Anolis sagrei: one gene and its partner. The protein of the gene in region 1 purifies or fractionates together with the protein of each later gene. This does not show direct contact. Links are inferred from orthologs where the notes say so. Each region holds a gene or a part of one and is shown on either strand. Other genes may lie near its edges.

Region 1 (9,403 bases):
TATATATAATTAGTTTTTTGATATAGGTTTCTAGAGGAAAGACGGTGAAGAGAGGGGGTCCCTCCTTTGCTGTGTGTAGGGTGGAAAGGGTATTTCCCTTATTCAATTCATTCCTCTGCGCTCATGCGCATATTCCCATAGGAAAAAAGAGAAAAATATTTATTTATTTTCTTATATAAAATCATAAAACAACAACATTTAGACATTAAAACGTAGAGTTAAAAACATATTATTATAAACATCGAAATCACATAATCCAAAAAACATAGTCCAAGGCCGTTCCAATATCAAATATCAATAGCACAAGTATAGAAAGATACTTTGTAGTAGAGGGTCCGGAATTGGAGGTGCCCGATATATTATAGCAGTTTGAGTTGCAACTTAGTTGGGAGAAAGGGAGGTATGAGGTGATCTCCAGCTAAGACTGAAAAGCAGAACTGAGGTGTGGGGATTTGGGGGCAATGGAGTTAGGGTTGCTGGTGGTCCTAGGAGGCTCGAATGAGGCTGCAGGGATAGTGGCCATTGCCACTAATTTGGCCCTCCATCCTTGGGAAAATATAACTTACTGGGGACTGAACTATGACTCTTTTTATTTAGGGGGGAGGGGTGATTATGTTTGATAACACCAACAAAAAATCCTCTTGGGTATCTTGGTTTTTAGGCCTGATCCTGGGGTTATTTGGGACGCTGATTTAGAAAATTGCATTGGCAAGATTTCATCAGCTGTAGTTCCTTAGATATGGTTATAATGATTTCCTATGGCTGACTAGACGAAGACAGATACTTTATATGGCATATGTTGTGTATCTTAAAAACTACAGCTGATAGGCAAAAGCCAGTGCTATTTTTGGAATCAGCAGGTAATAATAATAATAATATTTATTTATTTGATCAGTCATATGACCATTTCAAAATAGAACATGAGTAACAAACAAGGCAACAAGGTGATAAGTCAGAATCTTATTTTCCTGGTTCTTCTTTCAGGAAATCTGCTCTTTTCTTAGTAGCTTTCAGAATAAAAAGGCTTACTCTGATTATGCTGGATCTTTCCTGCCCTTGCAAGAGGGATGTCAGAATATCATTTCTGTTGGGGGACCTGCAGTTGGATAATATTGGATGTAAATATCTGTCTTGCAGTTCAGTGTATGCTGGACAGTCAATTAAGAAATGTTCAATGTCTTCCACTGTTTGTTCTCCCCAGACGCAGAATCTCTCACTTCTTGGGAGGTTACAGTAGCAGGTCAAAAATACCCAGAAACAGGTCTAACATTTCAGGCACCAAATGTTTACTAGACAAAAGAAAACATATATGATATATTCTTTGTGCCTTGTCATTCAGTGCAAGTTTCTGACATTCTAATATTACCATGTTAATTAAATAACATATGACCTAGCAAAATGCTCATTGTTTCACCCCATTATCACCTGAAGGCACACCCCAAGATTTTTCCCCCCAAGGAAGATCATTGCTGAGAATTCAAATGAACTCCTGATAAAACTAGTAGTTTGAATACTGCATTGCAAAAACAAACTCCACTTCAGTGCCCTACAATTCAAGCTACTTCAAGGTTGTTTCTGGTGTTATGCTGATTCAGGGCAGAATATTCATGAATGCTTCTTACAACTCACAAGAGCTTGGGGCTTTCTGGTTCATCAAAAAGATGCCGGGGGGGGGGGGGGGGGGTTGGCAGCGGGTGGTGAGTATTCTCTCACACAAGCTGATCCAATAAAGTTATTGACATCAAGTTCAGGACAAACAAAATAAAGTATTTCACACCTGTCAAGGTAATTACTGCAAATTGTGGTTATGGTTGCTAAATTAGATGGGTTTTTAAAGGCCTAGACAGATTATTGGAGGTTGCAGTGATCAACACTTTTAAGTCATGAGACTTAACCTTCCATGACCAGTAGTTGTAAACATCTGAGTACCAGATGCTCTGAATAAACAACAGATTGGGACCTTTGCCTTCCTGCCCTTCTTATGAACCTCTAGCGCACCTGGCAGGTGATTGTTTGAATGTTGGAGTAGATGAAACTTGGTCTGATTCATCAAAACAGTTCTTCTGCACACAGAAGCCTTATGAGAACTGACCTGTAGGCAGCCAACTAAGGTGACCTGTAAGTCTGAAACACACCTTTGGGAATAAAAATAAAGAACTGAAACCTGTCAAGGAAGAAGCAGAATTTGAGTCATAAGTCAGGGCTGAAGTGTCAGAGCTTAGAAAGATATTGCTATAAACAAGCCAGTGGTAAGGGAACCTTTGGTCACCTAAATCTTTTGACATATAGTTCCCAAGGTTTATTACCATTGGTGACGCTGGGTGGGGTGGATGGAAGGCTAAAACATATGAAAGGGAAATGTTTCCCTACATTAGATTTACTGTTTAGACTCAAATATAGACTCATAAGTGATCAACTACGGTATAGTCAAGCTCATATGTAAGTCAACCCCATTTATAAGTTTTTCTTTTAATTTGCATTTGGATGACGAATTTAACTTGGCGAACCACTTTTAATGTATATTTATAACCGTTTTAATGTATATGGTTGTATTTTATGATATGTTTTATATTGTGTTGGCACTGAATGGTTGCCTGTTGAAAGCCATCCTGAGTCCCTCTTCGGAGGTTGAGAAGGACGGGGTATAACTGTTTTAAATAAATACACACATATATAAAACCAACAATTTTTGGAGGCACAGTGAAGTGCCAGCTATGTCTTTATTTTAAAGTCGTTTACATTTTCTAAGCTTTTTAAGGCATGTTATCTGAGCTTTTTCCAATGTGAAAAAATACATTTAAAAGCTTTTAGGCCTCGTGCCATATATTTGAAATGATATGCCTTCAGATGTGATAATTCAACAGGTCATACCCCAAATTACCGCTATCTGACATGAACTATATGTTTTAACAGAGAAAGACTGATGTGTATCAAATAACACAAAGGATATAAAAAATTGTTGCTTTAGAAAATCTGATGCTTGAGTGACATGTTAGTTTAATATTATATTTTGTATTTTATTCAGATAATTTGTTTTACAATTAGATTGTAAAGTTTTATGATTCTTGTCATCCCTTTACATTTGCATATTTGAGATTGTAAGCCACTGACAGAACCCTCCATTTGGGGGTGTTTTCTTGTAAAGTGCCTTGAAAATGGATGGTTACACACACACACACACACAATTATGCTTTTTATGAAAAATGGGTTCAAGATACAATATTCTTAATAATATATATCCATTTAGAAAACAGGTTGAGAGGAGCTCTTAGTTTTACAATTGCCAATTTAAACATATCTAGAAATAGATAAATTTAATCAACCTGTACTACTTGAACAAAAGGTATATCCTGGATTAAGGCCACTGGGATGCTGGCAGCTTTACGGTGAAGGAGACTAAAGGTGGTTAAGAATTATTTTAATGGTACTACTCCTCTACCATAAACTATTGAGCGTACCTAATCTATGCTACTTATCGTTATTCTTTTCTCTCTCTTATCTGTCATTTTACAGTCTTCCCCCTGTTTCTCTGTGTTGTCACAAAAGAGTCCTACAGGCAACCATTGGAAGTGGCCTGGTGTCATGTGATAGCCTCCGTGGGACTCTGTTTCAGTAGCACAAAGAAATTGAGAGAAGACTGAAGGGATTGTGGCACAGCTGGCTGTCAGCTGCATTAAGAGCACTCTGACCAAAAGGTCATGAGTTTGAAGCCAGCCCGGGTTGGAGTGGGCTTCCAACCAATTGTGTAGCCTGTTGTCGACCTTTGCAACCCGAAAGACAGTTGCATCTGTCAAGTAGGAAAATTAGGTACCACCTTGTGTGGGGAGGCTAAATTAACCAATTTATGAGGCCTTAAAAAAGACTCCAGCAAAGCACTCCAGCAAAAGCATGCGAGGAATGCGGAAGTACTTCATCAGTGTCGCAGAAGGACGATGAAAGCGACAGCTCCCCTGGCAGCCAGAAAAAGGTAAATAGCCTCTGTGTATGTCTGTATATGTTGCATGTCAAATTGGCATTGAATGTTTGCCATATATGTGTACACTGTAATCCGCCCTGAGTCCCCTGTGGGGTGAGAAGGGCGGAATATAAATACTGTAAATAAATAAATAAATAAATAAACATGCCCAGCTCCTTAAGCCACTCCTCATAGGGCTTGTTCTCCAAACCCTTGATCATTTGAGTCGCCCTACTCTGCACACAGTCCAGCTTGTCAACATCTCCCTTCAATCGCTGTGCCCAGAATTGGACATTTCAGGTGTGGTCTGACCAAGGCATAATAGAGGGGGAGCATGACTTCCCTGGATCTAGACACTATACTCCTATTTATGCAAGCAAAAATCCCATTGCCTTTTAAGCTGCCGCATGACATTGTGGTCTCATGTTCACCTTCCTGTCCACGAGGACTCCAAGATCTTTTTCACATGTCGAGCCAAACATCCCTCATTCTGTATTGTTGCAGAATGACTATGAGGATGGAGACTGCTTTTAGCCCAGTGGGTCCTCCATCCTTGATAAAACTATAAATCCTTGAGTTTGATTTGTGTATATATTTTATTGGGGGCAGGCTTGTAGCCAGGATTTTGTTTCGGGGGGGGGGGGGGGGTGAGTTTGATTCGGGGGGGGGGGGGTGAGTCTGAGTGAAAGAGGCCCTACCCTAGCAAACCTTTTGTATCATTACCCCAATACCCCCATACATATGGGATATATTGAGCATGGTGATCAGATCATGATATGAATAAACATAACAGTTTAAATAATGTACCAGTAAGGTCTTCTCGCGGACCACCCTGAGAATTTCGGGGGGGGGGGGCTGAAGCCCCCCAAGCCCCCCCCCCTCCCGGCTACATGCCTGATTGGGGGTGGTGGTCTGGTGTCTTTGATGGCTCAGTGCTACATCACCATGGGATCTGGAGCACAGTGAGGCACCAGCACTCTTTGCAGAGAAGGTTGAAGACATTGGCAAACTACAACTCCCAGGAGACCATAACATTACACCATACCAACTAAAGTGGTGTCAAATCGCAGTAATTCTACAGCAAACTTGCACCGTGACCCAACACTCAGGCCGCCTGATACCGTAAGTTTACTTATTTATAAGAATCTCATCATAGCTCTCAGCCGTGAGGATCCATGTCCCTTCCTGGGCCTTGGGGGGGGGGGGGTGGGCGAGTGGGCAGCCCCTCCCTCCCTCCCTCCCTCCCGGAGCCGAAAGGCCAGGCGAATGCTTGGAGCGTTGCCCCGGCAACCCTCTGGCGGCTGCTGCTGCTCCTCCCTCCCTTGAACTCGCCCGTACCGAACGCATCTCACTCAGCATGAGCCGGCCGGCGGCCCGTCGCCGTGATGCATTGTGGGCCTCGGCAATATGGCTGCCTCCTTGTTGAGTTGCTGAGGCGAGTTTGGCTCTCCGGGACGTTTCCCTCCCGTTCTCCTCACCCGGCAGCCCGGGGCTTTTGTCCAGGGAGAGGAGCCGCCACCTGCCCGCGGCGGGGATGGCGATGCGGCGGACGGGACCCCCATCGCAGGAGCAGCAGCAGCAGGAGGAGGAACGGCCGGGCAGCGAGCAGGCACCGCCTCGGGGGTAGGAGCGTGCTCCCCTCGCCGGCCCACGCCAGAGAGAGAGGCCTCCCGGCAAGGAGAGCTTGCCCGCCGCCGCCTGGACCGGACTGGGCCTGGTCGAGGGTGGGCGTGGTCTTCTCAGCCAGGAGAAGCGAGCCAGGCCTGGAGCACAGAGGCGCCAAGCAGCCCCGGTCCCTGCCAGCTCTGCCGCTCCTCGTCGTCCTTTGGCCAGGGCCTGTCTCTGCAGTTCCCCCATCGTCGCTCCGGTTGTGGCGCCCCGGACCTCCTTCCCATTGGACCCAGAAGCACCACCCGTTTCTGCAAGCATCCCCCTAAGAGCACCCCACAAAAGGGCCCTTAACAGGGACACGCTCCCAGCAACAGCTTCCCCTTTTCACTTGAAAGGAGGCTTCTGGTGTGACTCTGCAGCTGAGTATCCTCACTTCACCTGTCCTCCCTTGGCCACAATTTCCCAGTGTCACTCCTCCTGACCTGCTGTCATCCTGCTTTTATACTTTGTTCCTTCCTTGCAGTGGTTGGAGTTCTTTACTAGAATCACATTCTTCTGCCTAAAATACTTGTAGGCCCATCTTGATGAACTAAGCAGTCTCTATTGTGGAACATTGTTTTCGTGATTTGAAATGACTTTTATGTTTTGTTTAGATTGAGAGGCATTTCGCAATTGCACACCCTATTTGAGAAAGTGAGTGGGAGAAAGAACCTCCATGCACATCTGTGACTTGATTCTTCAGCTAGACAGTGATCATCCATTTCCTGCAAGATAGTTGTCTCTTGTATCGTGATTGCATTACTCACCAAGCTTGCTTCTTCCAAACTGGAAAGCCCCCCCCCCCCCCCCCGCTGCTGAAAAGAGAATATTTCTACACACTTTAACAAACAACAGCATTTGAACAAGACACCTTTCCCTGAAGCGTCACCTGGAACTGCAGTTGAGAGGTTCCCTTGCTCTCCTAATAGCTTTTTTGCTCATACTTTGTTGATCCTTGACTTTTGATCATTGGTTCCCTTGGTTCTTTCTCCTCTCATGGAGTCAGATATGTTGCAGTCTCCCCTACTGGGGCTTGGGGAGGAAGATGAATCAGACATGACTGACTGGAATCTGCCTTTGGCCTTCATGAAGAAGCGGCACTGTGAGAAGATTGAAGGCTCCAAATCACTGGCTCAGAGTTGGCGGATGAAAGACAGGGTAATGATCTCTAGTTACAGTTTTTGTTTGGGAGAAAGAAAAGATTTGCATGTTCTGTTCAACTAGATTCTACACACTTTTTCTGTAGGTCTTGTACATTCCTGGTTGAATTCTATTAATTTATTTTGTGTTGAACACTCAATAAATGTAGCCAACACTGCATGCTAACACGGCACCAAATCACTAGGTTTAAATAATTTGCTTTTTCTTCTTTGAAAATGAATTAATTCTAAGTTAATTAAAATGAGGTCTTAACATTTACTTGGCAAGTATCTGGATGGAGATTGCTTCATGTGGAAGTGTCATGTACAGATTTGTTCTATTAGTGAATTTAAAGTTCTATTTCCTTAACCATGTGTCACATGGGACATTTCATTTTTAATGAAGCTAAAAATGAGAGTGACAACATTTATGAAAATTATACACAACAAAATTTATTTATACAATGGTGTTGTTCTGGTTGTTTTAGAAATGGAAATCCACAAGAAATTATAGAATCTCTGTTCCAGACTCAATTATTTCTCCTGCTAACTTTTTGCAGGAAAGATTATACAGTCAAATTGCTGTTGTTAGGCATTCTAGAATTATTTGTTAATTATTATGTTGCCTTTGAGGAAGTTTAGATAATCAGCGAATGAAGACATTTCTGAGAGAGATAGCTAGTGGGAAAACTTATCAGTCAAATCAACTCCTAAAGTATTCCCTTATATTGATTTACAAAAGTAGGGTTTATGTTTAACAGCAGTATGGAACTTATCTTTATAGCAAGTGAAAAAATTAACCAAAATAACTTGGAATGTTGCCTCATTTGAAATGTGTCTGAATATACAGCTGTCTGTGACCCTGATTACATGGTTTGTTTCACAGCATCAGTATGTAAATAAATCAGTACTAGTCTCACAGTGCTAAAAAGAGATATTTTCTTCCTTGCTCATTCACTGTGGTAAAGTGCTGTTCTGGTACAGCTGCTGTGGAAACTGTATAAGTGCTGGGAGAAGCTTTTCTATGGCATCTCTTTTCTATGCATATGAAGTCGTAATATGGAAATGAATAGTGATTTAGAACTTCTAAAGCTTCTTGAATGCATCTTGTGGTCTGTCAGAACCTACTTTTTCTGTAACACAAGAAGTAGGATTTATGGGTTTTGGGAGTATCCAAGACAACTTAGTGCTGTAAGCAGGATATATGACTTTTTGTTTAATGGTTTATTGTAGATGTTATTTATAAAATTGTATATTATAAATGGTAGTGTAACTGTTTTTTTTATTTTAAAAACAGTAATTAGATATTGCTAAACTTAAAACAAATGTTTGTGGCTAACATGCCGAAGTTCATTTTAATGTGATTGTAAAGGAGCTTAGCCTTCTCTGAGTTCATCCATACTTTCTTACTTGCCCCTTTCATTCCAGTCAGGAAGGCTTCTAGAAGCTTTTTGTTTGGAATGAGTTGTGCCCCAAATGTTAATGATGATTAGATTCTAAAAAGCTGACCAAATACTGTTTTTTGAAATAAATTCTTATATTAAGCATGGCGAATATTCATTTCAGTCCAGCTCTTGATAACATTGCAAGCCATCGCTGACTGAAAGTGAAAGTGTTTAAACGCCTTCAGGGCTCTGCAAGAAGAGAAAAGGGGAGCAGGAAGTTTTTGAGCCCGGGAGATACATTAATGCAGGGGTCTTCAAACTTTTTAAACAGAGGGCTAGAAACAGTCCTTCAAACTGTTGGAGGGCCGGATTATAATTTGAAAAAAATGAATGAATTCCTATGAGTAATTGCACTTATCTTATTTGTAATGCAAAAACTTTAAAACAATACAATAATTAAAATAAAGAACAATTTAAACAAATATAAACTTACTAGTATTTCAGTGGGAAGTGTGGTCCTGCTTTTGGCTGATGAGATAGGATTGTTGTTATTGTTGTGTGCTTTCAAGTAGTTTCAGACTTTGGTTGACCCTGAGTGAGGGCCGGGTAAATTACCTTGGAGGGCCATATTCGGCCCCCGGGCCTTAGTTTGAGGACCCCTGCATTAATGTTTTTCTAAAGAATAGGAAAAAAATAGACAATGTATTTTATATACACAGTCCCAATACCTGTTAACATTTTTATTGTCTACAATGCTTTGATATGAAAAACTGCAAAATCTGTAGTTGTTTTTTTTTTTTTTGAAAATCCATCTCCTGCACATTTTGGAAACTTTGATCATCTGCTTATTGTTGAGTATTTCTATGTTTGCAACGTAGTGAATTTTTATGTTGATCTTCTATGCTAACCAAGGGTTGTTTGGGATTATTTTCTGCGACTTGTTTTCATTATATATTTTTATGAGGTGGGGAATACTTCTTAAAAACTTTTGTAAGTGAAGCAGGAATAAAAAGAGGTACACAATATATTAAGTACAGAAACAAGTGTCAAAACTGCATTAGTTAAGCTTTTTTGTGTCTCTTTCATATAGATTTTAAATTACGATAAATACTTAATTTTTCATCCTAATAACAAAACAAGACAATCTGTCTTGTTTCTCTCTTCTGGAATTAATTTCAGCAAGGACTACTAGAATTCAGCCCAGAACTTGTTTTGGTTTCCATGGAGGGCTCAGACGAAGGAAACAGATTATTTCAGATCATTCATAAGTGCCT
Region 2 (10,168 bases), on another chromosome or scaffold:
ACCAAATTTGGCAACAAAATGTCTCACTACACACTCAAAAAATTATGATTTTGTCATTTGGGAGTTGTAGTTGCTGGGATTTATAGTTCACCTATAATCAAAGAGCATTCTGAACTCCACTAACAATGGAATTGAACCAAACTTGGCACACAGGCCTCCCATGACCACCAGAAAATACTGAAAGGGTTTGGTGGGCATTGACCTTGAATTCTGGAATTGTAGTATACCTCCATCCAGAGAACACTGTGGACTCACACAATGATGGATCTGGACCAAACTTGACAGGAATACTCAATATGCCCAAATGTGGACACAGAGGGATTTTGGGGGAAATAGACCTTGACATTTGGGAGTTGTAGTTACTAGGATGTATAGTTCACCTATAATCAAAGAGCATTCTGAACCCCACCAATGATGGAATTGGGCCAAACATCACACACAGAACCCCCATTATCAACAGAAAACTCTGTGCGGTCTTTGGTGACCGTTCTGACACCCCCCCCCCCCCGGGTCTTGACTTCCCAGGTTGAGAAATGCTGTCTAAGGCCATCCAGTCCAACTCCCTTCATCAGGGCCAGAAAACATAATCAAAGCCCTCCTGACAAAGGGCCATCCAGCCATTCACGCACACACATGTATATGACAAATAGAGTATCATAGATTTGAAAGGGACCCCTAAAGAAGGACAATGATATGTTGCATCTTCCAGAGTAAGTAAAACAGACAATCTCCACATCAACACTGACAAAGAAAGAACAAGAAATACTGTTTACCCACAAGCATCAAGACATTACATATATTAGAAACCAACACTTTCTCATTACTTTATTTTCCAGATCACCAGACTGGGCCACAGCAACGAATGGCAGGGGACCGCTAGTTATTTACTATATAATTAATTATTATTATGATCAATAATCAGAATGATCTCAATTCGAGTGCAAGGAAAGCCTTTCAACATCACAGTGATCCAAATATACGCCCCAACCACAGCTGCTGAAGAAGCAGAAGTAGATCAGTTCTATGAGGATCTGCAGGACCTACTGGATAATACACCAAAAAGAGACATTATTTTCATTACAGGAGACTGGAATGCCAAGGTGGGAAGTCAAATGACAACTGGGATCACAGGCAAGCATGGTCTGGGAGAACAAAATGAAGCGGGACGCAGGCTGATAGAATTCTGCCAGGAAAACTCGCTGTGTATAACGAATACTCTCTTCCAACAACCTAAAAGACGACTTTATACATGGACCTCACCAGATGGTCAACACCAAAATCAGATTGACTACATCCTTTGCAGCCAAAGGTGGCGGACATCCATCCAGTCGGTGAAAACAAGACCTGGGGCTGACTGTAGCTCAGATCACGAACTTCTTATTGCCCAATTTAGAATAAAACTAAAGAGATCAGGGAAAATACACAGACCAGTTAGATATGATCTCACTAACATTCCTAGCGAATATACAGTGGAAGTGAAGAACAGATTTGAAGGACTAGATTTAGTAAACAGAGTCCCAGAAGAACTATGGACAGAAGTCCGAGACATTGTTCAGGAGGCGGCAACAAAGTACGTTCCAAAGAAAAAGAAAACCAAGAAGGCAAAATGGTTGTCTGCTGAGACACTGGAAGTAGCCCAAGAAAGGAGGAAAGCAAAAGGAAACAGGGATAAGGGGAGATATGCCCAGTTAAATGCGCAATTCCAGAGGTTAGCCAGAAGAGATAAGGAACTATTTTTAAATAAGCAATGCATGGAAGTGGAAGAAGACAACAGAATAGGAAGGACAAGAGACCTCTTCCAGAAAATTAGAAACATTGGAGGTAAATTTCAGGCAAAAATTGGTATGATAAGAAACAAAGATGGCAGGGACCTAACAGAAGCTGAAGAGATCAAGAGAAGGTGGCGAGACTATACAGAAGATCTGTATAGGAAGGATAACAATATCGAGGATAGCTTTGACGGTGTGGTGAATGAATTAGAACCAGACATCCTGAGGAGTGAGGTTGAATGGGCCTTAAGAAGCATTGCTAACAACAAGGCAGCAGGAGACGACGGCATCCCAGCTGAACTGTTTAAAATCTTAAAAGATGATGCTGTCAAGGTGATGCATGCCATTTGCCAGCAAATATGGAAAACACAAGAATGGCCATCAGACTGGAAAAAATCAACTTATATCCCCATACCAAAAAAGGGAAATGCGAAAGACTGCTCAAACTTCCGTACAGTGGCCCTTATTTCTCATGCCAGTAAGGTAATGCTCAAGATCCTGCAAGGAAGACTCCAGCAATACATGGAGCGAGAGTTGCCAGATGTTCAAGCTGGGTTTAGAAAAGGCAGAGGAACGAGAGACCAGATTGCCAATATCCGCTGGATAATGGAGAAAGGCAGGGAGTTTCAGAAAAACATCTACTTCTGCTTCATTGACTATTCTAAAGCCTTTGACTGTGTGGATCATAATAAATTGTGGCAAGTTCTTGGTGGGATGGGTATACCAAGCCACCTTGTCTCTCTCCTGAGGAATCTGTACAAGGACCAAGTAGCAACAGTCAGAACTGACCACGGAACAACAGACTGGTTCAAGATTGGGAAAGGCGTCCGGCAAGGCTGCATACTCTCACCCAACCTTTTTAACTTGTATGCAGAACACATCATGCGATGTGCGGGGCTGGATGAATGCAAAGCTGGGGTGAAAATTGCTGGAAGAAACATTAACAACCTCAGATATGCAGATGACACCACTCTGATGGCCGAAAGCGAGGAGGAGCTGAGGAGCCTTCTAATCAAGGTGAAAGAAGAAAGCGCAAAAGCCGGGTTGCAGCTAAACGTCAAAAAAACCAAGATTATGGCAACAAGAATGATTGACAACTGGAAAATAGAGGGAGAAACCGTGGAGGCCGTGACAGACTTTGTATTTCTAGGTGCAAAGATTACTGCAGATGCAGACTGTGGCCAGGAAATCAGAAGACGCTTACTTCTTGGGAGGAGAGCAATGTCCAGTCTCGATAAAATAGTAAAGAGTAGAGACATCAGACTGGCAACAAAGATCCGCCTAGTCAAAGCCATGGTATTCCCTGTAGTCACCTACGGATGTGAGAGCTGGACCTTAGGGAAGGCTGAGCGAAGGAAGATCGATGCTTTTGAGCTGTGGTGTTGGAGGAAAGTGCTGAGAGTGCCTTGGACTGCGAGAAGATCCAACCAGTCCATCCTCCAGGAAATAAAGCCCGACTGCTCACTGGAGGGAAAGATACTAGAGACAAAGTTGAAGTACTTTGGCCACATCATGAGGAGACAGGAAAGCCTAGAGAAGACAATTATGCTGGGGAAAGTGGAAGGCAAAAGGAAGAGGGGCCGACCAAGGGCAAGATGGATGGATGGCATCCTTGAAGTGACTGGACTGACCTTGAGGGAGCTGGGGGTGGTAACGGCCGACAGGGAGCTCTGGCGTAGGCTGGTCCATGAGGTCACGAAGAGTCGGAGACGACTGAACGAATGAACAACAACATGATCAATAATATATACCCTGGACTTTCCAGAGATATATAAACCCAATTTTCCTAGTTTCCAACAGACCTCACAACCTCTGAGGATGCCTGCCATAGATGCAGGCGAAACGTCAGGAGAGAATGCTTCTTGAACATGGCCATACAGCCCGAAAAAACTTCAAAAATCCAGTGATTCCAGCCATGAAAGCCTTTGACAATACATTACTGTTATTAATGTCAAGTCAGGGGCGACTTGAGAAACAGTGTGAGAGAATTGGCTATCTGCAAGGGTGTTGCCCAGGGGACGCCTGGATGTTTAGATGTTTTACCATTCTTGTGGGAAGCGTATTTCATGTCCCTGCATGGGCAGCTGGAGCTGACAGAGGGAGCTCATCTGTGCTCTCTTCAGATTTGAACCTCCAACCTGTCGGTCTTCAGTCCTGCTGGCACATGGGTTATTATTATTCTATTATTATTATTCTATTATTATATTGCGATATTATTATTTTAATCTATTATTTAGTTTGTTGTTCATTCGTTCAGTCGTCTCCGACTCTTCGTGACCTCATGGACCAGCCCACGCCAGAGCTCCCTGTCGGCCGTCACCACCCCCAGCTCCTTCAAGGTCAGTCCAGTCACTTCAAGGATGCCATCCATCCATCTTGCCCTTGGTCGGCCCCTCTTCCTTTTACTTTCCACTTTCCCCACATTATTTAGTATATTAAATTATTTAGTATATTAAATAATTATTTAGTATATTATTATTATTATTGCTTTTTTTATATCCCGCTCCCTCCCCTGATGAGACTCAGAGCAGCTTACAAAAAAAAAGAAACAAACAATAATAAACACACTGTCAAAAACAGCCTCAAACAGAGAAGAGTTATTTCTCCTACCCTGTACATTATTTCATAGATATATAAACCCGAATTGCCTAGTTTACAACAGACCTCACAACCTCTGAGGATGCCTGCCATAGATATGGGTAACGTCAGGAGAGAATGCTTCTGGAATATGGCCATACAGCCCAGAAAACTCACAGCAACCCAGTGATTCTGGCCATGAAAGCCTTCGACAACACAATGTCAAAAATAACTCAATAACAATAAAATAAACAAGGCAAACACAAAACATTGTTGCTGTTATTGTTGTTGTTGTTGTTGTTGTTGTTATGAATTACCCCCTTCTAGCCATCTGTCCCATCCAGGGCTGGGCAAAGATGATCCTTCCAGATATTATTATTACTATTATTATTATTGTTACTAGATTATTAATATATTACATTATTAATAATGTTATGTGGGAAAGAGAAGATCTCTCCACTTAATATTATTAGTACTAATATAATAAATTATTATTTTTATTAGCCTCTTCTAGCTTTTCTGCTTCATTCAGAATTATGAAGAGCAGATTCCTTCACTTATTAATATTATTAGTACAATATAATAATAATAGTATTATATTGAATTACATTATAACATCATTATCAATATTACATGTATATGCATTATATTAGCATAGCACAATATTAGTATTATACATTACTATATTAATAATATTACATGTAATATATAATATACAATTATTATATATAATTATAAAGTACTATATTATTATTATTATATATAATACACTATTAGTATATTATATTATTGGTATCATAACATATATTGTACTATTATAAGTTGTCGTATATATTATATATATTACAACATTATTATTATATATATTAGTATTATTACATTAAAATGTTATTATTGTATGTATACCTCTCTTAATGCATTGCATATATATGCATGTGTGGTGGTGCAATGCATTAACAGAAGTATATAAATATATACATATATATATACACACACATTGTATATTTACTATGTATATATGCATACTCCTATTAATTTGTCTTATTGTTTGCTGTCTGAAGTCCCTATATTGGAAGCCAGACAGGATTTATGATTTATGCATTATCATAAATCATCATTTTCTATATCAAAAACATCATCATCCAGGGACTGGAGGCTTGGGTGAGCTTCCCTGACAGACGCTACTGCGCATGTCCGAGTTGGGCCCTGCTCTGGCTTTCCCACTCTCTGCCGACAGGTGTCGCTGCTTCCCTATGGGGCGGCCATAGAACTAGGAACACTTTCCCATGTGTTCTAGGGTCTCTTCTGCGCATGCGGACTGGTTTCCTCGTTTCACATGCGCACTAGGTGCCCAATGGATGCTCGTGTGCGCATGCGCCGTGGCTGTCTTGTTCCTAGTCTGCCTGTCTGCCCAGTAGTCCTTCCTTTAATTCCGAAGGTAAGTAGCAATTCCCCCACCCAAAATATTTATATTTCTTATACTTACGTTTGTGTAATTTCTGAGCTCAAGGTTGTCCATTTTCTGCCCTAATTTATGCTGACAATGAGCCCTGCAAGATGGGAATAAGAGGCTCAATGAGGACCAGAAGCTTGGATCTCCCAGCTTAAGGGCCTCTAAACTCAGAGACCCTACAACAACAACAACAACAACAGTAATCATAATGATGCAGACTGTGCATTCCTTTTTCCCAAATACTCCAAAATGATCCCCATTTGCGAGAGTTTTAAAATGCATTTTATTATTTTAATTTCTCTTTGCTGTAATGTCAGAAGGTCCTTAATTGTTTATTATTTCAATGCATGTACATTGCTTCATTGAGTAGTTTTTAATGCCTTTTTAATATGTTTATGTCCATTTGCTTTAATGATGGAAAGGGCCAATTTTTATTTTTATTTATTTATTTAGGGTATTTCTACCCCACCTTTCTCCGCAACTGGGACTCAAGGTGGCTTACAGCATACCAACATATAACATTCATCATAAAAAGGTAAAACCATAATAAAAACATCGATACATAAAATAAGGTAAAAGCAATAGCCTCCCCCGTGTTTGCTTCCCTATGTACCAACATTAAAATCCCTAATATCCTCCCATACTTCAGTTAAAAGCCTTATTAAACGGAAAGGTTCTATGCTTCTATGCATGTACGTCACTTCATTGAGTAGTTTTTAATGTATTGTACTATTTTATATGCATTTGTTTTAATGGCAGAAAGTGAGGGTAGAGGAAAGGATGGGAAAGGAAGGAAGGGAGAAAGGAAGGAAGGAAGGAAAGAAGGGTGAAAGGCTGGAAAAAAGGAAGGGGGAGAGAAGGAGGGATAGAAGGAAGGGCAGGTCTATGAGGGAAAGCAAGGGAAGGAAGGAAGGGAGAAAAGGGAAAGAAGGGCAAGGGAGAGAAAAAGGAAGAGGAAGGAAGGAAGGACGGACGGATGGGTGGAAGGAAGGAAGGGAAGAGAGGAAGGAAGGATGAAAGGTTGGAAAAAAGGATTTGGGAGAAGAAGAAGGAAGGATGGAAGGAAGAAGCAGGGAGGTTGCATGAGGGAAGAAGGAAGAAAGGGAGAAAAGGGAAAGAAGGAAGGAAATGGGAGACAGAAGAGGAAGGGAGAGAGGGAGGGGGAGAGAAGGAGAAGAGAAGGTCGAAAGGCTGGAAAGAAGTGGGAAAGAAGGAAGGAAGGAAGGAAAAAGCAGGGAAGGTATAAGGGAAAGCAAGGGGAGAAGGAAAGGGGAGAGAAAAAGGAAGGAAGAGGGAGAGAGGAAGGAAAGAAGGATGGAAGGAAGGAAGAGAAAAAAGGAATGAAGGAAGAGGGAGAGAGGAAAGAAGGAAAAAAGAAAAGAGCAGAGAAGGTGTATGAGGGAAAGCATAGAAAGAAGAAAGGAAGGGGGAGGGGAAAAAAAGAAGGAAAAAAGGAAGGAAGGGAAAAAAGAAAGGAAGGAGAAGGTGTAGGAAGGAAACAGAGAGGAAGGAAAGAAAGAACCATAAAGAAGATGAAAACTGGAGTCCAGTAAGAAAGACCTTTGTGTGGATGTTTCCTCAGGCCACAGAGGCATGAACACCGCACAGGGCACCGTGGGCAGCGACCCAGTCATCCTGGCCACCGCTGGCTATGACCATACTGTCCGCTTCTGGCAGGCCCACAGCGGGATCTGCACCCGGACCGTCCAGCACCAGGACTCTGTATCCTTTGGCTGCATGGGAAGGCAGAATGCTGGGGTTTACAACCTTCCTAGGGGTTTTTTGGAGGGCTGGATGGGGTTGCCTTCTGTTTGCCCCTTAACCCCTTTTGCCAGCAGGTCAATGCTCTGGAGATCACCCCGGACCGGACCATGATAGCTGCAGCCGGTAAGGATGCCATCTGCAGACAGCATGGTGTAGCATAGTTTGTGTGCTTATTACATGCTTTCAAGGGAGCATCTACACTGTGGAATGAACACAGTTTGACACCACTCTTAACCCCAGTGGCTCAGTGCTACTTTTTGAGCTTCTCTGTCAAAAAGCACAGGTGCCTGACTGATTTCACAGCTTCAAGCCAGGACAGTTAAAATAGTGCCAAACTGTATTACCTTCAAAGTGTAGATGAACACCGAGTCCACTCTAGCCGTATAGTTTTATTCTTAAAATCTTTTGTCAAAGAGGCAATGTTTCTTGATGTTTTACTTTCTTTCCTTGTAGTGCTAGAAGTCCACGTTATAGAGATTGAACCATTCTTGACCCACTTCAAGTGCATCATTCTACACTGTAGAACGAATGCAGTTTGACATTGCTTTAACTGCCATGGCTCAAAAATATAGAGTTGTAATTTTGAACTTTTTGGCAGAGAAGATGAAAGACTTTATAAACATACATCTGCAGAATTCATTAGCATTGAGCCCTTGTAGTTAAAGCAGTGTCAGGCTGCATTCATTCTACAGATGCACCCTGGGTCAATAATTATGTGTTTTTGAGAATGGCTGCCTCTCTCTGAGAAGTAGAATTGCACCTGAACCCTCTTATTTGTGATGCTGGCATTAATAAATAACTTCCAGGCCTTTGGGAGCTGAGATGGTGTCTCTTCTGCAGGCTACCAGCACATCCGGATGTATGACTTGAACTCCAACAACCCGAACCCCGTCATCAACTACGACGGAGTCAGCAAGAACATCACCTCAGTGGGTTTCCATGAAGATGGGCGCTGGATGTACACTGGGGGAGAAGACTGCATGGCCCGTATCTGGGACCTCCGGTTTGTGGCCTCTTTCCTCTCCTTAACCCTGATGGGGCTTTTGCACAACACTGTCATCCCACTTAGCATGGCAACAGGACCCTAGGATATCCAGTTCAGGAGGGGCAGCTAGAATTCTCCCCCAGAGAGCTCTAGTGCCTCATCAGACTACAGATACCAGAATTCTCCAAGTGCAGAACGTTATTAAATGTGAAATAGGCACAGAGCATGGAATGCAATTCACCAATGCTTTTTTAGATCCACGGTGTGGACCCAAGAGGGCACACTTCTGCAAATGTGCTGCATTCCTCTGCCTTCACACATTATAATGTATATTATATCTGGGTATAATATATCCATTGGATTGTTGACCTTCACCCGTCTGGAATCGATTTCTGCTTTCCAGGTCACGCAACCTGCAGTGCCAGCGCATCTTCCAGGTGAACGCACCTATCAACTGTGTTTGCCTGCATCCTAATCAGGTATTTATTTGTTCCAGAGTGGTGGAGAATGAGGCCCTTTCTTCCTTCCTTTCACACCTCCTCCTTTTCCTTTTCTACTGATGCCATTTGTGTGTCTCTCAGGCAGAGCTCATTGTCGGGGACCAGAGTGGGGCCATCCACATCTGGGACCTGAAGACAGACCACAACGAGCAGCTCATCCCAGAACCTGAGGTCTCAGTCAATTCCGTCCACATTGACCCTGACGCCAGCTACATGGCCGCTGTCAATAGTTCGGTCAGTGCAAAGAGGGACTTTATTATCCCACTTGCCCGTTTGTTTGATCTTCAGTGTATATTGTAAACTGGACCCCTTAGGTTCTGTGTTCCTTGTATCTTGCAGGGCAACTGTTATGTCTGGAACCTGACTGGTGGCATCGGAGACGAGGTGACACAGCTCATTCCCAAAACCAAGATCCCTGCCCACAACCGCTATGCCCTCCAGTGCAAATTCAGTCCAGATTCCACGTGAGTAGCAGCATTAGCAGAGCTTTTATTTTGTCCATCCACTTGCCCTTGGAATAACCTGAGGGATCCAGTGTGGCCCAGTGGTTTGAATGCTGGCCTGTGACTCTATCCCCAGAGATTCTTTTTATCATCTGCCCTTAAATGGTGGACTGTTGTATTTTAAAACACAATTAAATGCCTATCTCATCGGCAGGCCTACCCAGCCAATTTTAAATGATAAATTTTACATTTAGTATTTCTGTTTTAATTTTTTTGTTTTTAATATATGGATTCTTATGGTCTGTTGTTTTATATTGTGCCCCAGCTCAAGCCATTAGGACAGGTGGGTAGCAAATGCAATTGACCAGATACAAATCCCCATTCAGCCATGGAAACTCACTGGATGTCCTGGGCAAATTAGCTCTTTGAAGAATCAGAGTTGGGTGAGTCAGAGAGACCATGGTTCAAATCCCACTTTGGCAATGAAGACTGAGCCAAGGCATGCTCTTTTAGCCACTGGAAGGTTCCAAATGGAAGCTGCAGTTGCCTTTAAAGCAAGGCGACTGCAGGTTAAATGCTTGTTCTAGGAGCACCCTGCATATGGATGTTTCATAGATGTTGGGTTGGAAGGGATTTCTACAAGATCATCAATCCATCCACAACCGAAGAATTCCCGA

What was found.
Region 2: the proteins of RPTOR (region 1) and MLST8 purify together in Homo sapiens (affinity purification with western blotting; 15 studies listed by BioGRID and IntAct, with this or other methods). This does not show direct contact. The link is inferred for Anolis sagrei from reciprocal best matches to the Homo sapiens genes RPTOR and MLST8.

The regions. Positions count from the first base shown.
Region 1 is NC_090022.1:130,446,186-130,455,588, forward strand, and holds the start of RPTOR (regulatory-associated protein of mTOR), read left to right. Parts: upstream 1-5,307; 5' UTR 5,308-6,601; coding exon 6,602-6,763; intron 6,764-9,403. UniProt on the Homo sapiens protein: Component of the mechanistic target of rapamycin complex 1 (mTORC1), an evolutionarily conserved central nutrient sensor that stimulates anabolic reactions and macromolecule biosynthesis to promote cellular biomass generation and growth.
Region 2 is NC_090034.1:21,488,801-21,498,968, forward strand, and holds the start of MLST8 (target of rapamycin complex subunit LST8), read left to right. Parts: upstream 1-5,691; 5' UTR 5,692-5,784; intron 5,785-6,252; exon of another isoform or gene 6,253-6,334; intron 6,335-7,381; 5' UTR 7,382-7,392; coding exon 7,393-7,521; intron 7,522-7,634; coding exon 7,635-7,686; intron 7,687-8,403; coding exon 8,404-8,566; intron 8,567-8,951; coding exon 8,952-9,027; intron 9,028-9,129; coding exon 9,130-9,282; intron 9,283-9,387; coding exon 9,388-9,512; intron 9,513-10,168.